7 linked regions of the Nothobranchius furzeri genome follow. The protein of the gene in region 4 purifies or fractionates together with the protein of the main gene of each other region. This does not show direct contact. Links are inferred from orthologs where the notes say so. Each region holds a gene or a part of one and is shown on either strand. Other genes may lie near its edges. The genes, in order: det1, etv5a, rbx1, cop1, etv1, trib2 and etv4.

Evidence for each region.
Region 1: the proteins of cop1 (region 4) and det1 purify together in Homo sapiens (affinity purification with western blotting; 11 studies listed by BioGRID and IntAct, counting the BioPlex papers as one, with this or other methods). This does not show direct contact. The link is inferred for Nothobranchius furzeri from reciprocal best matches to the Homo sapiens genes COP1 and DET1.
Region 2: the proteins of cop1 (region 4) and etv5a purify together in Homo sapiens (affinity purification with mass spectrometry; 6 studies listed by BioGRID and IntAct, counting the BioPlex papers as one, with this or other methods). This does not show direct contact. The link is inferred for Nothobranchius furzeri from reciprocal best matches to the Homo sapiens genes COP1 and ETV5.
Region 3: the proteins of cop1 (region 4) and rbx1 purify together in Homo sapiens (affinity purification with western blotting; 3 studies listed by BioGRID, with this or other methods). This does not show direct contact. The link is inferred for Nothobranchius furzeri from reciprocal best matches to the Homo sapiens genes COP1 and RBX1.
Region 5: the proteins of cop1 (region 4) and etv1 purify together in Homo sapiens (affinity purification with mass spectrometry; 4 studies listed by BioGRID and IntAct, counting the BioPlex papers as one, with this or other methods). This does not show direct contact. The link is inferred for Nothobranchius furzeri from reciprocal best matches to the Homo sapiens genes COP1 and ETV1.
Region 6: the proteins of cop1 (region 4) and trib2 purify together in Homo sapiens (affinity purification with mass spectrometry; 4 studies listed by BioGRID and IntAct, counting the BioPlex papers as one, with this or other methods). This does not show direct contact. The link is inferred for Nothobranchius furzeri from reciprocal best matches to the Homo sapiens genes COP1 and TRIB2.
Region 7: the proteins of cop1 (region 4) and etv4 purify together in Homo sapiens (affinity purification with mass spectrometry; 5 studies listed by BioGRID and IntAct, with this or other methods). This does not show direct contact. The link is inferred for Nothobranchius furzeri from reciprocal best matches to the Homo sapiens genes COP1 and ETV4.

Annotation. Positions count from the first base shown.
Region 1 is NC_091744.1:82,952,409-82,956,602, forward strand, and holds the start of det1 (DET1 homolog), read right to left. Parts: upstream 2,801-4,194; 5' UTR 2,633-2,800; intron 2,196-2,632; 5' UTR 2,172-2,195; coding exon 1,917-2,171; intron 1,800-1,916; coding exon 1,533-1,799; intron 1,460-1,532; coding exon 1,247-1,459; intron 1-1,246. UniProt on the Homo sapiens protein: Component of the E3 ubiquitin ligase DCX DET1-COP1 complex, which is required for ubiquitination and subsequent degradation of target proteins. The complex is involved in JUN ubiquitination and degradation.
Region 2 is NC_091754.1:36,794,264-36,798,404, forward strand, and holds the start of etv5a (ETS translocation variant 5a), read right to left. Parts: upstream 2,801-4,141; 5' UTR 2,666-2,800; intron 1,715-2,665; exon of another isoform or gene 1,582-1,714; intron 1,490-1,581; 5' UTR 1,418-1,489; coding exon 1,370-1,417; intron 1,278-1,369; coding exon 1,181-1,277; intron 1,110-1,180; coding exon 1,062-1,109; intron 673-1,061; coding exon 622-672; intron 1-621. UniProt on the Homo sapiens protein: Binds to DNA sequences containing the consensus nucleotide core sequence 5'-GGAA.-3'.
Region 3 is NC_091752.1:65,786,479-65,789,617, forward strand, and holds rbx1 (E3 ubiquitin-protein ligase RBX1), read right to left. Parts: upstream 2,013-3,139; 5' UTR 1,955-2,012; coding exon 1,877-1,954; intron 1,196-1,876; coding exon 1,117-1,195; intron 1,041-1,116; coding exon 970-1,040; intron 817-969; coding exon 731-816; intron 647-730; coding exon 634-646; 3' UTR 501-633; downstream 1-500. UniProt on the Homo sapiens protein: E3 ubiquitin ligase component of multiple cullin-RING-based E3 ubiquitin-protein ligase (CRLs) complexes which mediate the ubiquitination and subsequent proteasomal degradation of target proteins, including proteins involved in cell cycle progression, signal transduction, transcription and transcription-coupled nucleotide excision repair.
Region 4 is NC_091751.1:60,919,457-60,922,956, reverse strand, and holds part of cop1 (E3 ubiquitin-protein ligase COP1), read right to left. Parts: coding exon 3,426-3,500; intron 3,268-3,425; coding exon 3,159-3,267; intron 3,049-3,158; coding exon 2,967-3,048; intron 1,584-2,966; coding exon 1,467-1,583; intron 860-1,466; coding exon 742-859; intron 1-741. UniProt on the Homo sapiens protein: E3 ubiquitin-protein ligase that mediates ubiquitination and subsequent proteasomal degradation of target proteins.
Region 5 is NC_091745.1:64,421,082-64,423,729, reverse strand, and holds the end of etv1 (ETS translocation variant 1), read left to right. Parts: intron 1-610; coding exon 611-832; 3' UTR 833-2,148; downstream 2,149-2,648. UniProt on the Homo sapiens protein: Transcriptional activator that binds to DNA sequences containing the consensus pentanucleotide 5'-CGGA[AT]-3'. Required for olfactory dopaminergic neuron differentiation; may directly activate expression of tyrosine hydroxylase (TH).
Region 6 is NC_091742.1:22,438,211-22,442,311, reverse strand, and holds the start of trib2 (tribbles homolog 2), read left to right. Parts: upstream 1-1,301; 5' UTR 1,302-1,531; coding exon 1,532-1,801; intron 1,802-2,147; exon of another isoform or gene 2,148-2,274; coding exon of another isoform or gene 2,275-2,289; intron 2,290-3,070; coding exon 3,071-3,363; intron 3,364-4,101.
Region 7 is NC_091756.1:48,943,716-48,947,215, reverse strand, and holds part of etv4 (ETS translocation variant 4), read right to left. Parts: intron 816-3,500; coding exon 686-815; intron 1-685.

The sequences.
Region 1 (4,194 bases), on a different chromosome or scaffold from region 4:
CATGGGGCTTAAAGGAGATGTACAGTTGGATGTCATCTGCATAAAGATGTAGGAGATTCCGTTGAAGGAGCTCAGGATGTGCTGAAGAGGAAGCAGATAGAGGAGGAAGAGCAGAGGCCCCAGCACAGAACCTTGTGGGACACCATGGGTAAGAGAGGTGGTGGAGGACCTAAACTTGGAGACGGCCACAGAAAAGGAGCGCTCAGAAAGATAAGAGGAGAACCACTCCAGAGCAGATCCTGATAGGCCGACCCAGTCTCTCAGCCTCTCCAGTAGCAGGTGATGGTCAACAGTGTCAAAGGCTGCAGTCAGGTCCAGCAGGACCAGAACAGAACAGTCCCCTGCATCACTGTGAGTCAGAAGGTCATTAGATACCCTAAGAAGAACTGTTTCAGTAGAATGAGCTCTACGAAAACCTGACTGGAAGCTATCATAGAAGCTATGTTCATCAAGAGCAGCTGTGAGTTGTTTAGCCACAACCTTTTCCAAGATCTTGGAGATGAACAGAAGTTTAGAGATGGGTCTGAAGCTGCTATGGAGAGAGGGGTCGAGACTCGGTTTTTTAAGAAACGGGTGGATTACAGCGTTCTTAAAGTAAGCAGGGACCTGACCAGAGACCAGAGAAGCATTAATTATAGAGAGCACGCTGGGACCGATGGACTGAAAAGCACTTTTAAACAAAGATGAGGGTAAGATGTGGAGGGGGCATGCAGAGGTCTTCATAGAGATAACTAGTTTGGTTAACTCAGGCAAAGAAACAGGAGCAAAGCCATCTAGGATGATGGGCCTGGTTGAGTCGGGAGAGGCGGCGATAAGGCTGAAGGAGAGATGCTAGATCTAACCTTATTGACTTTGTCCACAAAGAAAGACAGAAAGTTCTCACAGTCTGTAACAGAGTGGATGGAGGCTGTAGGAGAGGCAGGAGAGACGATGCTGCTGATGGTGTTAAACAGCACCTTGGGGTTCCCTTTGCTCTGGGACACCAGGTTGGAGAAATAGACAACCCTCGCGTCTCTGACTGCAGAGTTAAAGGATGTCAGAAGATCCTTTAGGTGCAGCAGATGGACGTGGAGATGGGTTTTCCTCCACAAACGCTCAACTTTTCTGCATTGGCGCTTCAGGCTGCGAATGCTGTCGTTGAACGAAGGAGTAGGGTTCACCGAACAAAGACCGGCAGAAGCGCAGCTTTTATCTTCTCACATGACAACAACCTCCACTACAGAGTGCATGGTGGAGGTGAGCTCACCTGGAACACGTGGATGGTCTGCTGCTGCACCGACAGCACAGCCAGGATGTTCCTGTACAGGTAGAGCCCCTGGTTGTGAGACAAGATGATTTTGTCACATTTAAAAGATCTGGTGTCACACAGCCTGCCGGTGTGGAGGTCGATGATGTGCAGAGAGTAGTCCTCTAGAGGAGACCGAGGGTTGGGGGTCACTGATTCGTTGTTGCGATACACCTGGTGGGAGAACAAACGTGGGAACGAGAAGCAGGCGAACAGATTTCCACCAATAAGAAACTAGGAATCTTACCTCAAAGAAGTACGGTTGTGGTTCTTCAGGGACGTAAACCGCCGACCCGACGATGACGTAGCGGCAGTCGTCTGTAAACAGGCTACACTCCCGGTTCAGGTGTTCTCCATTTGAGGCCACATTAGTGACATGAAGTAACGAGAAGAAGCGCTCAAACAAGCGGCCTCGGATGTTGAGGGAGCGCTGGTCGTTGGCGGTTGAAAGTGTTTCTCCTTCTTGACCTCTGAGAAGGTCCTGAGCAGCCTGGCAGCCTTGGTATTCATAGATCTACAGAAGCATTTAGATGCTCTTACTTGGGTTCTGGTTTCAGGTAAACTTAATAAACAAAGGGAATCTGTCAATGATGAGACAAAAATGTGTTTCGTGATGGTGTGAGAATGAAACCTCTAGGGACGTCTGGTCAGACGAGAAGGCGATGAAGTAGCGCCCGTCTGGTGAGAACTTCCTGAGGAAACACGGTGGCTTCTCAACGTTGACCACGGTGAAGTTAGGGAATAGGTTCTGGTGAAAGCAGCGGACTCGGTACCAGTGAGATCCGGGTCGACCGGAGCAGATCCGCCGCTTCTCCAGACGATGGACCACGTTCTGATTCTGGATGTGCCTGGGCTTTAAAGTCGGGGTGTCCTCCATCGCAGACATTAAGGGATGGCTTCAAACGTCCATCTGTAGATAAACCGGGGGGGGGGGGGGGGGGGGGGGTCATCACATTACCTGTGAGAGGGTAGAGCTCAAGATGTTGCAGCATCTGATGTTTTTGGGGGTTTTATGACATGTTGTCACGACAATTTAAAGAGAAAAATGTTTTATTTCACGTGATTTTAGCCAAAATACAATATTTCATAATATAACAAATTAAAATGTGTCAAACTGTGAAGGAGGCTCTGAAAGCAGAACAGCTGATCAGAATCTTTCAGCGTAGTTTTCACACCAGCATCAGCACAGATGATCTGCTCTGTGATATATCTCAATACCGAGACGTTTACAGCTCTTCTTTTTTATTTTAGAGCCTAAAACAGAGCCTTCTGACCGAATCCCAGCAAACAAAAGTCTCATTTAGGAGTTATGTTCCGTTAAACAGCTGTTCAAGTTGGATAACTCACCGTCCGCTCCTCGGCTTTCTTCTCTCATCAAACGTAAACGTTCAGCATCATTTAGCCTCTAACGTCAAACTGTAACTAAACAAAAATCGGGTTTATTAACATTTTCCAGGCTGTTTTTGCGCTTTTGGATGCGCTTTCGGTTTGTTGTTGAGAAAGCTGAAAAAGAAAGCGAAAAAGAACCGAGCAGAGCGCTGCAGCGCCACCTCCGTTAGTGGCGAAATATGAAACTGCAGTCTCTAGCTAAGAGGGCTCAAACGGAAGCAGTGATGCGTCAGCAGATCCGCCATATTGGAAGTGGAGACGTCAGCTGATGAAAGCGTTCAAATAAAGGAAGGAGGGGTAGTTTCAGAAGGATTGATAGCATTTTACATTTCATTGTGACTTTTAATTGAGTTTAGTTATATTTGTAGAGAAGAAAAGCTCCATAGGTAACCGAAAAATGCTGAAAATAAAAGCTTTTGGGCTAATGAAAATAGATAGAAATTTGTTCACATCATGAAATTATAAAATAATGAGAAGTAATTTTGCTTATTTACATTGTTAATTACAATACGTACTATATATTATTTGGTCTTATGTAATATTTTCACACTAGTCTTATAGGGTCCAGATGGAGCATCAGGATTAGTACCTTCCTCAGGAACCTGCCATATCCAGGCCAAAACATGTCTACTGCCCCCTGGTGGAAGATTTACAGGTGGTAAGGGCCAATTTAATTTCTTAAAACTGTTATATTGTTTTAGAATGACACAATCATTATTCTGTTATGTTAATATTTGACAATAAATAGTTCAGTCTTTAAAATTGTAGGTTTAATAATAATTTAATGTTTCAGGCTTTAGTGGGTTTTTATCAACATGTCCCATAGAAAGCATCATTACTATGCCAGAATTAATAAAATTCACAACATATGAACATTTAACTACTAGTAGATTATATGTAAACAAGGAGAAACTATTTGTTTGTATTTAATATAAATTGTTTTATATGTATATTTGTACAGAAATCTGACATTTAACACCCAAATTCCACCCCCTGCTGAAATCTCTTGCCACACCTTTTTCCACCTCTGCGCACAGACCTGCTGTAAATAAGGTCAAAGTAAAACAGAACACAGCCAGCAGATACCTGCATTGACAATAAAATATGACCAAAATTAGTTTTCTCTATTATTCTAAACTAATATATTCCAAATATCCAGGGATGCTTGTGCACCATTTTACTGAACTCAAGTGGGTAATTGCAGTGGGATTCATTTTGAGGAAAGCCTCATTGTGGCCAAAATTTGGGGCAAACGTACACCTGCTGTTCTCACTGAGGTGCCAATTTACTGATCAGTGGGTGGGTTAGCAGGTGAGACGCACAAGTGCCCCGGAAAACTTTGAATATGATTATAATTGCTTTGACTAAACAGCCAGGAAAGAATAAAAAAAAAAAAAACCAAAAACAACAACATTAGCCGACCTTCGGCTCCTGTACCTACAGTGTGTATGACAGCCTCGTTTGTTTGGCGTAATTTGTTTAATTGATTTGTTTATAACAGCATGCAGCATATGTGAACC
Region 2 (4,141 bases), on a different chromosome or scaffold from region 4:
GCACGTGAGCTCCCCTGAGCAGTAAGTAATGGTGGATGGATTAACATCCTCCAGGTGAAAGCAAAGGAGCGCTTCACTGTGCCTTAGGGTAATAAATCATGTGTTGGAGAAAAGGCCCCCCAGCAGCACCAGACGGTTACCTCAGCGTGAACCCACAGCCGCTCACTACCTGGAAGAGGGCTTGAATAGAAACAAGCACAGACTTGAGAAGCTGCAGGGTTGTTTGAAGCCTGATAAACCACACTAGCCACACCCCATCTCCACCTCCCACCAATCAGACCAAAACATAAACTAAAAAGTAAGAAGCAGCACCGGACATGACTCTCCGCAGGCTAACGGTGTGTAAAGCAGAACTGTAACAGCTCTAACTACTGGCACGTAGCCCAATCCAGAGGCAGCGCAACGGCAGGGGCCGAGTGCAAAGGAGTGTGAAATCAGATTAGGAAGTCGGCTCATGTGATGCTTCATGTCAATCGGTTGATTAAACTCAAAATGGGGGAGAATGAAAGGAGTGAAAGAGCAGGCTTTCCCTGAGCTGCGGTCCGACCCGCAAATCCGGACAAGGATGGTGCCGAGGAGGTAAAAATCAAAGAGGAGGAGGAGGAACAATCAGGTACTCACAGTTTTCTGACTGGAAATCTGGAACAAACTGTTCATCATCAGGCACCTGGGCTGTGAAGGTACAGACAGGTGTAGAAAACGTCAGGAAGACACACACCAGCACCGACGCGCGTGTGTGTGTGTGTGTGTGTGTGTGAAGCAATTGAAAAAAGATCTCGGTCAGCACTTTGTCATCAACAGGACTTTGCTCTTCTTGCTCCACTTGCCAGCTGAAAACAGCGGCGTCTGATATTCTCACAAAGTTAAACTTTAAAGAGGTCAAAGTTGCTCAATTTCATTTAGTCGTGAGCAGAGAGGATCTCTGTACGAGCTGCCAAAAGCACATCTAGCTGCGGCCGCTCCTGTTCAGACACAACCGCTCTACTGTCGCATTTACTGCACAAAAAATTGGAAGCTTCTGAAAACCAATGATGAAGAGCGACAGAACATGCTGATCGTACCTTCAGCGATCCAGATCTCTTGCAGCTGACTGAGGTCTTGGAACAGTTCTGTGGGTCAAAAGATGTTGATATGATGTCACGTAAAGAACATGAACCCGTGTTTGAGTCAGCCGTCTTACCTTCTGTGTCCTGGGCAAGCTCCGTCTCCACAAACTTTCTCTTTCGGTCATTCAGGGACGAGCCGTGAGACGATTCCTCCACATGCAACTTCTGCTGCTGGGAAGTAGCAGAAGGAGAAACGTCAGGTCACAACCTACAACAGAGGATGTCACCCCCACCCTCATGTGGTGACAAGTGCGTCCACTTACGCTGGGTGGAACTATAAAAGGGACCTGCTGGTCATAGAAGCCGTCCATGGTGACTCTGGAGGGGTTCTGGTACTAATGGGAGAGGAGGGGTGTTTGTTTTAAACCGGCACCGGTAAACTCCTGTGAGAGAACAAAGAAGAAAAGTGTCACCTGACTCCACCGGTACCTTTCATCCAGCAGCACAGAGAAGAGTCGAAGAAACTCCAGTTCACCTTGACATGAAGCCCGAGTCCTCACACTGATCTGGCCTCGTTACACAGGAATGTGGACGTGGAGCTGCGTCCCACTCTGATGCTACAACAAGGCCACCATCATCCCCCCTTATTTAACCTACCAACACGCCTGTGAACCGAGGCACATCCAGCAAACATCAACACACAGTCATGCAGGATCACACAGGTTACATAAGCAGCACTCTCCGGCCATCTGCTCCAGCTATGGTCTGCTGTAATCAGCTGGAAGATCTGGAGTGAAGCACTTGGAAGAAGCGTCCCACTGAGGAAACCGTGCCATCAACTGCATCACAAAGCCTCTCAAACAGAAAGAAGCCGATCAGAGAAGCGATTAGTGCTTTCAACAGGCTTGGAGCTATTGTTGTGAGAGTGTTACACTTGGCTCCCTCTCCCCTCCGCTGCACATTTCTACAGGTTTTCTTTAGAAACACCGAGCTGAGGCCGCTCCTCTCCTCTCACAGCTCACTCAGCAGAGTGACATGACTCACTCCTCTGTTAATGAATGACCAATAAAGAGTGGCTGCTGGGCAAATAATTACAGGCACCACTTCATGGAGCTCCATGCACTTATTATAGTCCAAACTCTGACCAGCTATAGCTCCAAGCAGATGCTGCTTAGGTTTTATTTATGCGTTTTATTCTAACGATGTAAAATAATTAGGGTCTTTTTAGACTGAACCACTAAAAATGCATAAAGAGCAACAACTTTATGGACTTTTTAGATCCGAGTCCAGATAAAAGAAGCTGCACCACTTTGGCCTGGGCCGAAGTTCAGCCAGCCCCCCCACCCCCAGCCTCCCTTGTTTTTGTCAATGAAGTGAAACTCGATCCGTGTGAAGCCGTGTGCGGTGGGGGTGGGGGTGTCGATGGCTCTCCATTCATAAAAATCACAAACAGGCTCCTGACAGCGCTGATGGACGGACAGCAGCAGAGCCAAAGCCGTTCAGAGGGGCTCACTAAGGGCTTAAAAGCCACTTTCTCTGTAGTACTTTGGTAGTATTCTTAAACTGTACTAAACAACAGTGTAGTATTAAAAGCCTGTGGTAAGAATGGTGAAACTTACCTGGTTATGTGAATAAAAACCTCCTGAACACGTCAACAGTTCGCTGTAAATATCCACAAACAAAAGCGTCGCCTGCCGCCGACACACCGATGCGTCTCCTCGGACTCACTCAGCTAGACTGAGCTTTTCCTAAACCCTAACGGCCCGACGCTTTCCCTGCGCGCGAGCAGCACGCAGAGACACGCTGTGATTGGCGGATCCAGTCTGTCCGTTCAGCGAGCAGCCAATGGCGCGGTAGCTTTTAATTTATGCGCGAGGCGCGGTTCGCCCAATCACAAGGCAGTGGCGTCCCTTTTTATGAATGGTTGGATTTCATTCACATTTTTTTTCAATCATCGCTGCTTGCTTGTGTTTGTTAAAGGGCCAGGAGCCGAGCCAAGGCTACACGTCAACACCCCCGACTCCCTCAGCTCCAGCACACGGACAACAACCCTGTAGCCGAGAGCTGGCGGTTCAAGCAGTCCTAGGCAGAGGGTGTCATCAATGACACCAAAGTAGAAACTAAAGTATGTCACATCATCCCCGGGATGGGATGAAGAAGTACTTTAGGTCATACTTTTACTTAGTGAACAGCTTTCACTCACTCACTCTGGTGTTGTCAGTTATCAGGAGGTGGAGGACACCCTGGACATGTCTACAGTGCATCACAGGGACACACAGAGACAAATGAGACACACTCACTCATACCCATTAAGGTCACTAATATGCAGAGGTGTGACCAAGTCACTGCTTTGCAAGTCACAAGTAAGTCACAAGTCTTTCCAGTCAAGTCTGGAGTCAAGTCCAAGTCAAAGACAACCAAGTCCAAGTCGAGTCCAAACACAATGATTTTGAAGTCCAAGTCAAGTCCATGTCCTTAACTTTTGAACTGAATTTTCAAGTCATAATCAAGTCATCTGTCCAACTTCTATTTAATGACAATGATAATAAATAAATTCCAGAAATAAAGCTTCTTAAAGCTTCTTTTATTTGCTCAAACAAGCAGAAACTGATTATAAACAAAGAGCTGCTGCATTTAGCAGACCAAGATCACACCCAGAACGAACAATGATTCATGATTCTTGCCCATGTCGTGCCACTTTTGTGCTAAAATATCAAATATGCTCAAGTCATCATCAAGCCAACAGATGCAAGTCGATTCAAGTCGCAAGTCATTGGTGTTCAAGTCCGAGTCAAGTCGTAAGTCTTAATAGATTTTATCAAGTCAGAAGTCATTTAAATAATGACTCGAGTCTAACTCGAGTCCAAGTCATGTGACTCGAGTCCACACCTCTGCTAATCCTGGTCAGTCCCCGGTGGTGAAGAAGAAAGGATAATTTACACAGCGCCTCTCTAGACAAAAACCACAAGGTGCTTCACAGAACAATAAAAAATAATGAAGAAAAAATATCATCATCGAAAATGGGAGAAAAGGAAGAAAAATTACGATTACAAATTAGAACAACATTTTCAAAATTAAAATACAGAAATGACAGA
Region 3 (3,139 bases), on a different chromosome or scaffold from region 4:
ATTAAGATATGAACGTTTCTACAGCCATTTAATACGTGGTTTAACCTCTGTCTGTCTCTGAACACAGCCGAACTCTCACGAGCGTTGGCATGTTTTGTTATTAATCTGTTATAAATGCAAATAAAAGGATGTCTGTCTCACCCTGTTGGAAAAATATTCACAATAAAACTATTTAAAAACATTTTGTTCCATTTTATTGGTTTTTAAATTAATCTGATTATTAAATAAACTAAATTAAATAAGCATGTGAGTTATTTCATTATTCAGGCGGTATGTGTAGTCCAGACGTTTAATCCAGCTGTGCTGCTTGTTTTGTAGCTTGAGGATTACAGCCGTGTCAGATCTCATGTCATTCCACGTGGCTGTAGATGCTCGTGACTTTCGTCCCAACACAATGTACCTCATGAACTAAACTATGAAGGTGCATGGTTGAGCATATCATGTGCACTTAATCTAGTTTTACGACTTCAATTCAAATGTGATTACATCCTCCTGAAGACTGATGGTTTTACAGTTTATTGAATTACAACATAGCAAAACATGTAAAATAACATCTAGGTATATGAGCAGGAAGCAAAATGGAAAGTGAAAGGTTGATGCTCGCAGAAGCCAAGGAACAGGTCAATATCACAACTAGTGTCCGTATCTGCGAAAGAAAAAACGAAAATGTGTTTGAGTCAAGCATCAAACAATCCTCAAAATCATATATGCATTAATGGATCCGACTCACTTCTGAAACTCCCACTCCCTGTTGTCCAGGGGACACACCTGTCTGGTCTTCAGCCAACGGGAGATACAGTGGAAATGGAAGGCATGCTATGGAAGGTAAGGAAATGTTTAAACGACTGGATAGCAGTTTAACAAAGATGCAAAGACTGAAAAATAAGTGATCTGCACTTGTAGAGTGCCTTTCAGAGTCAAATGACCCATATCTATCATCCTACTGAAAGTTGCACCTTAGAAACTCACATTGCAGACACCCCAGGCCACAGTGCACTCTTCTGAGGTTGCAGAAGCTTGGTTGGCCTGGCACTCTATGCCTGATGAAGGATGAGGAATTGTGTAAGAGGGCTGCCAACAACTCACATGCAATCAAACACCCCTATGTGAACTTACACAGATCCATGATGTGGTTCCTACAGATAGCACAATTATCCACCACTATGTCCCAGGCCCACAGTGCAACAGCATTCCACTGGAACAAAAATCACATTCTGTTCATAGGAAGGTAACTTAAAATGAAGGACCTCATACCTGGAAATAAAAACCTTAATTCTATGGCTCATTGTAGGGTCTCTGACATTCAGTACTAATTCAAAGTTATCTTACAAATAAAGTTTTTCAACCTTTGATTAAAAAATGCTTCCATGGACACCTCAATCTAGAAAAGGAGTTAATTAAAATCTGATTAATAAAATCCTTCTCTATCAGTACCGTTACTTTTAAATTATGTAATGAATAGGAGAAAAAAAACCTTGTCATCAAAACTACTTAACATTTTATCCTGAGGAAATGTGACAGTCATTTAAATACTTTAAATCTTGGGAAATTTCGAGATGTACAGCTTAGCTGACTAAGCTAATTTAGCATGTAGACTAAGAGATTAAAGAGGTATTTGTCCATTTTTAAATCGTGCTGTTATTGTGTAACTACTGAGAGTTTATCATCGCTCTTATTTCTCTACAAGTTCTAGTTTAGACTTTAAGGCCATAAACAGAATAATGATTAATTATTTCTTGTAGCAGGCTAACAGCTAAACACCGATAACGGTGTTTAGCAAGCTAGCGTTAGCTAATGTTGGGCTAAACCTTTCGGCGTTGCTGACAAAGTGCACCGTTTAGTTTAGTCAACACAGACAAACTTTCAACTATCGTACCTTTTTCACTTCAAAGCGCTTCTTGCTTGCTCCACTATTTGTACCGCTTGGCGTGTCAACATCCATTGCTGCTGCCATTTTGAACTCTCCGGAAGCGTTTATCTAAGTTTTACCGGAAAATAGCGTCACTTCCTGTTCGACCAGATTAAGCAAATTTTCGAAAGAAAATATTATTTTCTTAATAATTTTTGAAAAAACAAAATCAGGTTGTATTTCTGAATTGTTACCGTTGACACTCTTAATATTTGAAGAAGTATTGGTTAAAAGGTCAGGTTCCACCGAGATTTGAACTCGGATCGCTGGATTCAGAGTCCAGAGTGCTAACCATTACACCATGGAACCCCTGCTTATTAACATTTCTCTGTAAAGAATTTGTTAAATCAATAGCACATGTATTGCTTTTATTCATTGCTTTTACACACCCTTAATTTCTCATGCAAAAAAAAAAAAAAAAAACTTCTCATGCTGTATAGAAAGGTGTATCTATCTGAGCTACACACTGCGTCATACTCATCACACTACTGTGTACCACACACTCCCCTAGCTACAACGCTGCAAATGAGCGAGAATGGGGAGTTGACGCCCTCCAGTGGCAAAAGACCAACATAGCAGACATAACCTGTAACATAATAGAAATGCGGTTCTTTATACTGGTTGTTCTTTGTATATAATAAACTTTTAATTCAATTACTTGCAATCTGTCGTTTTATTTGATTGACCTAAATAATGCAAATAAATATATCCATCAGAGTATTAAAACACCTGCGTACTCAATCCTTTAATTTGCGCTCTCTGCTGGAGAAATCGGGTTGCTGCAGGTACTACATTCATACAACTTAAAAATTACGATTTTTAAATTGGCGTTAAAAACACAGTTAGTATAAAATCGGAAAATACACAATAAAACAATTTAACTAATGAAACTTGATAAATGTATTTCAGTTATTCGTGTTAAACAAGATTAAATCAATAGGCTAAAGAAGCTAGCTATCAGCCCCACAAACATTCGATTATACGCCCACTGGCGGCCACAGGGCAAAACTACATCTACGAGAGGACTTCATTTGCTTCCCATTTGGAAGCATGGGCATGGCTGGCTTCGCTAAGATTTAGAGGGATTTTTATTCATTTTAAAAATGTAATTCTTAATAGGTGATATGAGATACATATATTTAGGTACTAATATTTTTATCAGCATGAGTTTGTCAAATCAAACCCGTCTGATGTAAAACTATTAGTTCAAGACCAATAAACACCCAACTA
Region 4 (3,500 bases):
TTCAGGCTTCAAAATCAACCGGCTTCTTCAGGCTGACGCTGATGGACGCTGTCAGCGCCAGCCTGAAGAAGCCGGCAGCCGTCGGCGAAACTGTAGCGTCAATAACATGTAACAAAACCGTTTCTGTGTTTTAAAATAGAACGACGACATGGAATTAGAAATAACGCACAGCAAGAACACACCTAAGATGTTCAAAGGGCTAGTTTGTTGCTAATTTGCAGGAATTATCTAGAAGAAAGTTGCTAAGGGTCCTCAGAAATGTAGCTAGCTTTGTCACGAGGCGTTAGGAACAGCGACAAAGTCGCTGAGTTGGCACTACCTCTCTCTCTGCTGCTAAAGCTACTGATAGCATCAGTGTCTGGTTTGATGGTGTCACTTTTGTGAAGCGTATTTGCAGTCCTGGACTTATTTTCACACAAAACCTAAAATAAAATGTACCCCCGTTCAAAAATAAGCACGTAATTGGTATAAAAAAACGCGTCTTTAAAATTCACGGACACCATATGTGAAATCCATGGAACATAGCAAGCGGGATGAGAAAATAGGTTTTTAGCCCCGCTGACTTGCATCTTCATCGTCGTTCTTCTGGGGACCCATGGTCTGGAAGCAGATGGGCGTGACTTAGGTTCCTTATTAATGAACATTTGACTGCATTAAAATTACAGTTAATAATTTCTGATATTCACCGTTTTCAAAATAAATCCCAGTAAAAACGGCTGAAAGTAAACCTAAGTGACTTACGCAGAAACAATCTCCTCTCCGTTTACAAACTTGGCGTAGGACACGGCCTTCCTGTGGCCTTTGAACACCATGATTGGCTGCTTAGTGTTGCGAAGATCGTAGTAGTGGACGCAGTGATCTAGAAGCAGGACGAGTTAAAAATAAACAATCTGGGGCTTTTATTCTTGTAACACAGTAAAGTTATGATGCAATGTCTTTGCTGCTTTGTGCTGAAGTTAGCGTTTCCAATAAGAAATGTTCCTTCTTTCCAAACTGTTTTCAAACTGAAGTTTTTCTTCCTTGAGCGACCACTCCAGGGTCAGGAGGCGGCTTTCTGCCAGTGGACCTCAGACACACACGCTGAAGTGTCAACGAGCCTGGACAACTCTCAGCAACAGAGTTCTGCTCCGCTTGTTTTAAGCTGTTATCCAGTGTTAGTGATGGGAAATACTTTCCTTTGCATACCTGAATATTTATTACAATTCTTATTCTCCTGTGGGGTACTAATGAACAGAGTTTTCAGAAGTTTGTCTGGACCACCAGAGTCAGCATAACCACAGATGAAATTTAGTATCTTCAAGGGGAAATAACAGTGGTGGGAGGTGAGTACCACAATAATAATACATCAAAATGAGAGAGAAACAAGTTTAAAGTTTGCCAACATTACACAAACACATTATTCAAGAAGGAAAACTTTTGTTAGAATCAGTTTGGAGTGTTTGAACAAAACCAGTCCTCCGTCTTACCCGCACAGCCGAAGGCCAGATGATATCTGGAAGTTGGGCTGAATTTAACACAGCAGACGTTAGCTTTAGCCTCGATGCTAGCCACTGAGTTGTTCAGGTTGGTTGACCACAGTTTAACTAAAGAAAAAAAAACAGGTAAACAATATAAACACTTTAGATAAAAAAGCAGCGGAGCCCCATGCTAAATTTATACATTGTTGATGTTTTTTAAGTTTTTCTGAGGGATGCTGTGAACCGATCACACGATTTAAACAGGGTTGGAATCAGGTGGAAAAGATCAGATTTACCCGTATAAAACAAAAAACACGACTCTTTAAATTCACTCCGAGATAGAAATTTCTTAACTGGCTGGTGAAAAAGTCTGTCGTTTGGTGGTATTTTAAACCAGACAGCTGGAAAAGCAAATCACCTGCCTCCATTAAGTCTGATTAACGCCGAGGACACACCGGCCGCCGAAGCGCCGCGAAAAGGGGACCGCCTTCATTCGGCGCCCTTGTTATCCTATTCTGTAGACCACATGGGCTGCCGAAGCGCCGGCGCTCCAGCCCACGCCGTGCAGCGATCGTTTTGGCGCCTGCTCTATTTTTTTTGCGAGCCGCGGGTGAACCGCGTCAATTTTGGCAGGAAGTCAAACCTAGACATGAGGCAGGCCGGTAAATTTAACAAAATAAAGCATTTCAAAATACAATTCCGTGATCGTCAACTGTGTTCGTAAACAGACACTGCATAAAAACCACACAAACACACACACACAGCGAACTTGTGTGTGTGTGACCACGTGAAGGGGGTGTGGTTTTGGGTGTCTTTCAACCGGAGCAAACAGGACAGAGAGGCAGAAAGACGTAGGCCAGCTATTAACAACCGGTTCACACCATAGGTTCTCACACACACACGTACAAACACACATACAAACAGCAGGGGGGAGGGGGGTGTAGAGGAAAAGTGCAGAGAAAAGGCAGAGAGGAAATGGAGGACACCAAGTGGTTAAAAGAAAAACTACGAGGCGCGCCTCGACCGGAGTGGAGAAACAAGCGTCTGGTCTGAACCGAGGCCAAATTTTGTGAGCGCTTCGCCTCCTGGCGCTTCGGCGGCTGGTGTGTCCCCGGCCTTACACTTCTCTGTCTGTGCTGAGTCACGCAACGCCATTATGCGTCGCTGCAAGGGCTCTTCAACAGGCTCACAGAGGGTGTTGGACACATGCCCAAATTTTTATATATCCGTCAAAAGTGACGGAGACCACAAGCTTGTGATTGGCCAGGATGCCACTTCCTTTAAATTTGTCAACGGCCCCGCCACTGCCCCCTCAAAAAGTATAAAATATATACTTAGCTGCAGACACAGAACAGATCAAAGAACGCATCGCGGAAAAAGTCCGAAAATATGAGCGTTTATTGACTCGTGACTGAAGGGGTACAATAACAGTACATGTGCAAATCTCCTTTTCATTTAGAACTCTGGTGGTCGAGAACCCCAGATAAATCATATGAAATCCTCTTTTACCTTTAGCATCATCAGAACCCGAGGCTAGGAGCTTGGGGTCCATCAGGTTGAAGTCAACACTCCAACATCTTTTCTCATGCTCCTAAAAATATGGAAGTCAAACTTCAGAAAACCGTCACAGCAAAAATATTCATAGTTATAATAAGCAGAAAAAAACCCAACATCATGTAAAAAGCTGTGCATGAGTCACACCTGGTACACTTTGGACCGCTGCCCACTGAATCCATCCCACAGAATGACGGTCCCTTCATAGTCGCTGCTGGCCAGAAGGTTCTTGTGATAACTGCTCCAGCTGATACAGCTGCAATGGAAGATGAAGTATCATTTTGATATGGAAACTCAGCAGATCCTCAATTTGAGATAATAAAATGTCATTTGATGAATCACTGCCTAAAGTGTAGGGTACTGATCTGATTAAAAGCTAAAACTCAGTTCCTCTTGAATTCGTTTATTTTTTACCTGATTTTGGAATTGCACGTCATTTCATTGACAGGGTAGTGGATGTCTACAGCATCCTGGATCACCGTTCCATAC
Region 5 (2,648 bases), on a different chromosome or scaffold from region 4:
ACCGCAAAGCAAACAGAGTCGGTGGTAGAGTTGCTTTGCTATTAGCTAACCATTGGCAAGATGTTGAAGTTCCAGGAAATAAAGACTCCAAATCCTGCTGTTTTCATCTAGACTCTCCTCTGGCTAACTTCTACTTCCTGAAACGGGTGCGAGAGAGCTTTGTCCCCATAATGATCATCTATGTTTACACTAAAGACCACTGCAAATTTATTGAGAAAACGAGTTAACTTGGTCTTCAAGGAAACCCTGATGTTGTAATCCATTTTGCACAACCGCCGTGCATAACAACCTCCACATCTGTTGTGTTTTTTAATTTATTTTTCTATATTTGTCCAGTTTTACCTCGAACCCGTTGTGAGGTAAACATTGGCTTTGCGTGGCAAGCTAAATAAGAACGTAAAAAGTGTAAGAAAGTAAAATTAAAACCAAGGCTACGGTTGTTTTTGAAGAATGATGAACCATGTGTAATAAAGCTTTTCTCATCTTATATAAATCTTTGATTAATCAGATCATCACCACCTGCTGGCCCGGCATGGGTGCTGTTTTTAAAATAGTTCTAATACAAATGATGAGCAATGCGATGATTTATAAAATGGAACATGTTTTTCAGGTGGCGGGTGAGAGATACGTTTACAAGTTTGTGTGCGACCCCGAGGCTTTGTTCTCCATGGCATTCCCCGACAATCAGCGGCCGGTGCTGAAGACGGACGTGGAGCGTCAGATTAATGAGGAGGACACGGTGCCGCTGTCACACTTTGACGAAAACATGGCCTATGTACAGGAGGGGCCCTACTGCCAACCGCATCCCTACAGCGAAGGCTATGTTTATTAACGGCAGTTCCACCAACACACACACCCGAATACCCGTCTCCACTCGAGCGTGATGTCCAGCCTCCTTCATACACCCGAGACTGTCATGTCCTCTGATTCACAGTCGCTCTGGGATAAAGACTGAAAACACACAAACACGGTGGCACTTCCCTTCCTCGTAACTCAACATAAACACACACACACATATTCTGTATTCTGCTCTTGTCTTTCTGACGTCCAGAGAGTTGCACTTTACGGACAGGAACACGGTGGAAACCTACCAGGGTCAGAGTGGTTGGCGTTTTACTATTCTTTATGTTTCTACTGTGGAAATCTGTTTTTTTTTTTTGTTTTTTTCTTTTATTATTTGTCTCATTTGGAGCATGCGCCACCCCAATGAGACAGGACTCATTAGCTAATTTATGGCCAATAAAAAGCCAAATTCCTCAAACTTTGACCTCTTGCAAAAGAAAGCATCTCATCCACCCACCTGGAGCCAATCCACAGAGGAATCTTAGCTTTCCCATCACACAGACATCCAATACTGAAAGCGTAAAATCGCTTTCACGGTTAAGATTACCAACGTGTCATGTGACGTAGCCTCACCTCCACGCTGAGCATCGGTTCATCAGTGCTCTCCGACCCTCACACAATCAAACTGTAGATCTCAACCTGTTGGTGTTTTTCTCTTTAACAACACAGACTCCACCGGATCGTTCTCTCATCTGCTAAAAAATGACCCGTGGGTCGGTAAAGAGGCAACTTTGATTCACGAGGATGCTCTGGGATGTTCGGAGGAGACCCAGACTTTATCCCAAATCACACGTTTGATCAGGAGCATCGTGGAAGCTTCAGGTTGAAAAACACTCCGGCAGCAGAAATTCATTTGTGTTCAGTTTTTTTATACAACAAATAAGAGGAATGTTTATTGTACAGCTGAAACGGATCAAGTCAGGAAACCATCTGCATTCCTAAAACAGAAAACAAGATGAAAACCAATTGATTTCACTAGCATAAATAATAAAAGTCAAGAAAAACTACACGTCTATATTTTTTGTGAACTTTTTTCTGTTCAGTTCCTGGTGAACATGAAGTGTAAATTTTGTTTTGTTTTGTTTTTTTGTTTGTTTGTTTTTTTACTGTCGCTTTTGCAATTAATATGTTGGTTTTTGGTCAAACAAAAAGAGGAATTATTTAGAGTTTTATAATGTGGTGAGTTAAAATAAATTGTTATGTACCATGGCATAATCAGGTAAATGCACATTTTGTTGCTGCTTCAGTCTGTAAGTGTATTTTCTTTTTGAGTCTGGGGAAAAATCCAAAAAAAAAAAAATGAAAGTGTCCAGCAGTTTCAGCCTGCTTTCCTGGATTTTGTTGTTGTTTTTGTTTCTTTTTATTTTATTTTTTTATCCAAACAAGTCTGGTCTGTCGGGGTGGGGGTGGGGGGTGGCGGGGGGGTTGGATGTATTCTGGAGGCGAACGTGTGCGGAATGGGATTGGAAATAGAAACATTCTGTAATAAAATAGTTTCAAAAACCTAATTTATGCCCCATTTTCAAATATTTTTTTACACTAATCACCACCGAATGACTCTGTTATTACTGTTTGTAGCTTTCACTGCTTTTATAAGTCACGTGAATAATTTTTACTGAGATATTCTCTCCAAAACTTCTGAATTTTCTTTAGTTTTTTTTATATGAAAACAAGTTTAACTTCTCAAATTTACATGTAGACCAAACAGATTATGGACTCTTGCCCATTTTTACTTAGTTGTGAGAGAAAACCACAAAGTGTTTAACCTAAATGACACCTGAGGAAAAATCAATGCCTAATTTAAG
Region 6 (4,101 bases), on a different chromosome or scaffold from region 4:
TAGAGGTGGCCATGGGTCCAGAGAAAGGTTGAAATGCTAAATTGATCTTCAGGGCCACTCTGGGAAAGTGTAGTGATGCCATAAATGCTCTTTTATTCGTTTTCATGAAATAATAATAATAATCGTACTACTACTACTACTACTACTACTACTAATAATAATAATAATAATAAAACATTATTTGACTCTGGTCTTCTCTGGGTGTGGGCAGTGGAATGGCCAGCAATTTTCTACCCTTGGCCACCCCTTAGGAGCGCCACTGGCGGCTGTTTTCTGTCTGTTTTCATGTGAACTAGCAAAATCACGCGTGATCTTGCAATTCATTCATAATTTCGCGGGACCAGCTGAGTGGGACACATTCGCAGATACCAGTAGAAAAGAATGCGCCTCACATAATAATCTCTTCACTTTTGGCATTAGTAGTTTGCAAATGTTGTTATTTTTGAATATAATAAACATGAGAAACACGAGGCTCACCAAAAGCCAATGTTGACGTCTGAAGCGGGTGATTATATGCTACACCGGCGTGCCTTACCCCACAGAGCGTGTAACCCCCCCTCCCTCCTCTGTCGGCAGCGATGGTTGGCAGGAAGGCAGCCTGCTCCCCCCGAACAGGCGCAGTGAGATCGGTGTGTGTGTATGTGTGTGTGTGTGTGTGTGTGTGTGTGTGTATGTGTGTGTGTGCAGCTCGGCTCCGCTCTGAATGGACTAGATTCCCGGCCACGTAAGAAGCACAGCGGTACCACGGGAGAGAGGATGTCCTGCTGAATCAAGGGATTGGCCTGGGAAAGTCGGCCGGCCGTCCCTTCCTTCCTTCCACAAGCCTTCAGCAGCATCCACACAGCTCTTCATTTTTCTTCCTTTTGGACCAGACGGAGGAGAAAGAGTGTTGACTCCCGCACACAAAGAGCCTCGGCAGCAGCAGCAGCAGCGGTCTTTCCGGATGGGGCTTTCTCCTTGTATGCTACATGACAATCACCGTGCACGGACGTAATCCCGGGGAACAAGGCCGTGCACTGACCCGGCGCTCGTTAGCTTTGTAATTAGCTCGGGAAACCAGCTTAATTGGATTTAAGCGTGTGCGTTTTTCTCGTTTCCCTCTCCTGAATGCCAGGCGGTGTCCATTTTATTGTTTCCGTTTTATGAAACGTGTCAGACCGTTCACCGACACCGGATAAACTAGCGGACTCTCCATTGATTCCCGGAGCTAACTTTTGATAGCCTTTGTCTAGCCTGCTTCTTCCCCCTCCTCGGTGAAGCCGCGCCGCGCTGGTTGAGCACTCAAGCCGGGGGGAACGTTTTATTTAATTGATCTCACGAATGTCTAACAAAGGAGGAGGCAGATGAGCATCGGGGGGGAAATAACACCCTTTTTCGCCTGTTGACGTCCTCTAACAGCAGGTTGCAACACATACACAACATTCGCATTTTGAATCTACTTCATCGAACTCCCCAAGTGAAAGGTTAGGTAAAGCGGTGCTGTGCCCGAGGGGAAGGCTTCAGTCTGCAGGAGGCATCGCACTTGTTCCTCATGAACATACAGAGGTCAAATCCAATTAACATTTCGCGTTATGGGAGATCGCGACACAAATCGCACGATTTTGAGGAGTTGTCTTGTTTGAGGACTACAGAGTCGCACCAGAGCTTCAGTCCCAACCTCGGCTCTCCCAGCCCGCCGGAGACCCCGGACACCTCGCACTGTGTCTCCCGCATCGGGGACTACCTTTTGTTGGAGCCGCTGGAGGGGGACCACGTTTTCAGAGCCGCCCACCTGCACAGCGGGGACGAGCTGGTGTGTAAGGTGAGCATGCAAACCCCCCCCCCCCCCCCCCAAAATAGCCACCTGAAAAACAAACGAGCAGTTTCATGCATGTTTTATTCTGGAACCATATTTTATTTTTGCTCATTATAGCCGATCTTTATGCACATCACCCGAAAATGTAGCTGAAGCAGAATAAAAGTGCAGACTTGGATCCTCCAGAGCGGCTGCCACATGGACTTTTTAATAATTGCTTGAATTGTAAATAGAGAGCTGGCAGAGCAGCCTAATGGAAACAGTGAATGGGGTGAGCTGTGTGGTTTGGATTGCATGATGTAACGTTGACAAAGGAGTGAGTAACCACGCGCACACACACACACACACCTCCGAGCCATTCTGGCTTACCCAGTGGCTTCTCACTGTCAGCTACAATGCTGGAGTCATTGATTCACCTCTGGATTTAGATTTATGAACCGAGTCGTGCGTTGCACACTTTGGACCAATATTCTCGTGACATGCAATCCTGCATGGTAAGTTAGAAAGGAAGCATTTATTTTTTCAAATCCACTGAACCTTGCAAGGTGGACTTTCGCTACCACATTTATACGATGTTTAATCATCTGTGCTGCTGATAATCAGGGTGGAGGTTACTTTGGAGAATCCCAGCCATAATCTGATGCACGTTGACCGATTCATTGAAACAGCTGCACACACCCTTGGACCCATAAAAGCCTGACATTTCCGGTAGCCGGCACCTTTCTGACTTGAGGTAATGTTATGTCGTTGCCGTGACAGGCGCCCTGCCTTATGAGCTAACTGCTGTTTGACCTCGTCTGCTTTGCGTCGACCTCGATACCGCAGCAATCAATCCCCACTTCCCGGGATTGATTATTACTGTCAGGCCGGCAGCTCGGGTCTCTCATGAGTTAAGATCTCGAGACCTGTGGGGTGTGTTTTTTATCGACTGCAGGCAGAAGGAGCCCTCTCACCTGAACTGGTTGTACTGAAAGTCAATTGGGGGTTGCTATGGAAACAAAAGAGGTACTGCAACCTCAGGCTGCAGCACAATGCCATGCAGTAGTATGATGCTACTTACTCCCTCTCCCAAAAGGAGTAACTCTAGTTGGCTGCTATGAGAGGGACTTTCTGTCCTACAAGGAAAATCTGAAATTCTGTCAGCTGGAATTTTTGTGTCCGCAACGGGGAAGGCGAAACGTTTTGCAGAGTCATTCTTAGATCTCCAACAACAATATCAGGATTCTTACTAAAGAGAACTGTTTCTAATTTGAAATCGTTTGCTCTCTTGTGCAGGTGTTCGACATTGGCCGATACCAGGAGTCGCTGGCGGCCTACTTCGCCTTGGGCCAGCATCAGCACATTAACCAAATCCTGGAAATTCTGCTCGGGGAGACGCGAGCCTACGTGTTCTTCGACAGGAGCCATGGCGACATGCATTCTTTTGTTCGCACCTGCAAGAAGCTGCGAGAGGATGAAGCTGCCAGGCTCTTCCACCAGATAGCCTCGGCTGTGGCACATTGCCATGACAACGGACTGGTCCTCCGTGACCTCAAACTGAGGAAGTTTGTCTTCAAAAATGAGGACAGGTAAGTTTCGCGGAAACCGTTAGGGCCGCTGTGCCTGGTGGCTTTGTTGTTTTTTTCCGTTTGTACATTCTGTTCAGTGAAATTTCAATGGCGTCTGTGTGATGTCATAGCTCAGCTTACACAGAGGATGTTGTAAACTGAGACTGTACAAGAGAGACGTTCCTTCTCTCTCAAATGCTCTTTTGTGTGTGTGTGTGTGTGTGTGTGTGTGTGTGTGTGTGTGTGTGTGTGTGTGTGTGTGTGTGTGTGTGTGTGTGTGTGTGTGGTTTATTAGTGGAGATATTGCACACACACACCACATATGTAGATGAAATTACACGGGTGTCATCTTCACCCCCATAACTCGAGACCGGCACTGCCGTTGAACCGAACAGCGCGTTCAGATAAGTTACCTTACCGGGACAAGCCGACGATCACTGGATGAACCAGAACCCCGTGCTTTCACAATGCAAGTTCTGACCTCTGGTGGCTGCTATTAATACCTGCAAACATAGACATCTGTTGCTACAGCAACCTTCTTATTTTAGATGCTAAGTAACCTGTTTTTATCATTTTTGATCACTGCCATGTGCAAACACCTGCCGTGCGGCTCCACAGATGCACCGTGTGCTTGTTTGGGAGTGTGGTGTCATTCGTTGGCACATCCAGTGGAAAATGGAAGTGGAGCTGCCTCGCATATTTAGTAGAGGTCCAGTAACCTTCAAAGCTTTTAGACTGAGATGCACGCCTCCTCTTTAA
Region 7 (3,500 bases), on a different chromosome or scaffold from region 4:
GAAGATGAGTCAACAGGAAGTTGGTAAGTAGATAATAAATATAGTCATATCTGATGTTAGAATTCTTAGGCGTTTTCCTGTAGGGAGCACTTACGACACTTATTATGGTAATTTGTCTCCAGCATTACAGGAAGTGTGGTAATTTACCGTTTTACTATTAGCTTGCTTTTCTGAATGACTCAATAAAGGAAGTAAAACGCACCAATAGACTCATTATTCCCTTCACGCATACATTTCACTGTAATATTGATTTGTTGGGAATTGAATAAGTAGCTTGAGATATTTTTTGACACAACATTTGCTTCAAATCCACCATTAGCATTGTAAGCTCAACGTTAGCTGATATTAGAGTATACCGTGTGGCTTCTTAGGGGTTCAAGAAATAACTTCTGGGTCACTCCTGTTTACTGGCTTTGGTTCTTTAAACCACTCTGGAGCTTTTTGCTTGTTGGTGTTGAAATACAAATGCTTGCTGAAGATTCGGCAACCTCACAAACTCTTAAGAGTGTAAAAAAAAAGTTTATTTTTCTTCAAAAGGATAAAAACAGACAATCCCACAGCCAGCTAAGAATAAAATCTGTTTCAGTATACCCTTCCTTCCAACATGATATTAGACTGTTTTGTGATTATTTCACTGTAGAATTTTTATAAATCGCACCTTTAATGACCAAAAATGAGGGGGTACCTGGCATAAAGGCACTGCTCTCCACTGGGGTAGTTGAAGTTTTGTTTGTGGCTACAGGACTGGCTGGGGTCAGATCCTGGACTCTGTGGTTCCTTCTTGATAGTGACTGGAGGACTATGAAACGCCACTGCTGCAGGAGACAACAAACAGAAAGCAGACGTGAGCAAGATTCCTTTGTGATTCAGCCCTGCCCTAATACTACCGTCAGCCCGAGTCAAAACTAAATCTCCTGTCTGTGCAGGAATGTGTCTTTTGTGCCAACCCAAAATGCTTAAGCGACTTTCAGCAGCAGCACAATGCAGCAGACAGCCACGTCTAAGACACAGTTGCATAAACACAGACACAAAAACACACATGCTTTCATTGCACACAACTGCATTCCAGCAGTCATTTGAAAGTCCAAAGCCTCCTTCCCACACTTTTCTTGGCTCTTCCAGACACAACAGCAGCTAAAATGTTACACCTTTGTAGTGTACGTTACACCTTCTTCAGAAGAGCATACGGGGCTTTGCATCACTTCAGCGTTAACCAAGGAAATCTAAGGATGCCACAAACATTTTAAGTATCTAATGTTGACCCAAAGGAGTCCACTTAATCTGTAACATATTGAAGTGTCCATCAAGCTGGACTGCTGGAGGGGACCTTTGCCTTGATGGCCACAGAAACCACCCAAAGTGGAGCTTCAAACTGTGCAGAGGGCTCGTGTTTATTATGCGAGGGGAGGTTTTCACCCAGAGAACTGTACAGGATGTTTTTCTGGTCCCGACAGGGTAAACAGCAGCAGCTGTGCACTTCCAGCTGGGGAGGCATGCCTTCATGTGAGCGTGCACGTTGTGTTAGCGTCATGAAATGTTAGCTTGTCTGTCTTTGCTTGATTGTGTGTGTGTGTGTGTGTGTGTGTGTGTGTGTGTGTGTGTGTGTGTGTGTGTGTGTGTGTGTGTGTGTGTGTGTGTGTGTGTGTGTGTGCAGTGGGTGTGGCGCTAACAGAACAGGCCACACTGAAAGCACAGCCCAGGTAATTACATAGCAGAGTCGTCCATTCACAAAAAGACGAGGAAAAAAACGTCTGGCTCGCTGAACAAAACACAAAATGGCTGAGAGGTAGAACGTGAGCAAAGAAAACTCCCTGACATTCACAACATTTTCTTGTTTTTGTTGCCAGAATTACAAAAACGCAAACGCTTGCCAAGAATTCTACTCCATTTTGCTAAGGAAAACTTTTAACATTTGATTTAGACTTTCCCATTTCACTTGAACCTGTTTAACATCAAAACTATAAACACATTAAAGTGACGAGAGAGTCATGCAGCTTCCTGCTTTTGGTGTGTATTCACTCTCCCACGGCAGGCAGGCAGGTGAGGAAGTGTTGGATTTATCCTGGGATCAACAGGATTAGAGAGCATTTACCCAGATTTCCCAGACAGACGTGGTGGGGATTCCGGCCTCCTCCGAGTCGCCGACAGACCGTCTGCTGGTGCACACGGAGGGTGGCACATGACCACCACTCTAATAATACAACCGTGTTTGTCTGTTGACGTTCATCCTGTTCTCAGGCTTGGTCATGAACTACAAACAATCCTCATAGAGCATGACGAGCCACTGCTGGTGGGGTTGGCATGAATGAGGCTTTTGATGTGGCGATTCGTGAGGATGTTCTGATGTCACTAGATTTTCTGAGGGGTTTGTTGATGCATGCAGTCAGTTTGCGCATGCGTGTTTGTTAGCAAAAATATCTCAAGAACCACCAGATGGATTTTATTGAGGGCCTTTCAATTTATTTGCGTATTTTGCTCAAAACATTGTAATTAATTAGCTCCACTTTCACGTGACTTCTGCTTTTGTAACATTTTATTAATTGTTTTAATCATCTGTTAGGACAGTATAAATGACGCCATGTAAACCTTTCTGTGGAACAAAGTTTCGTGCTCCTGTTTCGGGAAGTAGACGTTGGTTGGAGAAGTGGAAGGTAGAAAACGGCAGGATTTAACGCATTCATATTCATGATATTTAAATGTATAGAATGTTTGGCTAAAAGCAACATGACTTTACCACTGCTGTCATTTGTCTTTGTTCTTGGGTAAAAAAAATATAACAACGTTTTATCTGCATAAACAACAAGCCTGGAGGAAAGAAAGAAAAAAGAAAACAAACATTTATATAGCGCCTCTCAAGATAAAAAATCACGAGGCGCTTCACAAAACCAAAAAATTAAATATAAAAAAGATTTTAAAAATGATTAAGGACACATTTAAAATAAGAAAAGAATAAGTAAATAGTGATTAAGAAATGTAAGGAAAGGGAGAGAGAAAATGAATAAGAAAAAAGGAAATCAGTGAATCCTGGGAAAGGCAGAATAGGTAGAAGAGCAGCATAAGGAGAGGGTGGTGATGAAGGTCACACCAGAGCCAGCCTGAACAGGTGAGTTTCAGCTAAAGGAGAAAAGCTGCTTTTTAAAGGAGACAAAGAGTTCTGCCGTGTGGTTGTGCTGCTAACGCTAACGGTTAGCTTCTACTAGCTGACTTGTGCTCTGTTCTCTCCGGGCTGCTAAATCATTATCAGTCTTCCGCACTTGCACCCACGGTGGGTGAGTCCATAAATCCAAATATCTCTCTGTGACGTAGAAGGGAATGTTTTTTCTGATCCAACCGCGGGTCTGTGGCTGAAAGGGAGAAGGGGAATGAAGAAAATGTTTAACCTGCATGTGAAACTCAGGGTGACTGCTTGTGTTTAAAAAGAACAAAATATGTTTCTCAGTTAACTTCCTCTTACAAATGATAAATTAGAATAAGTGAATCCACAGGGAAGTTTAAACATT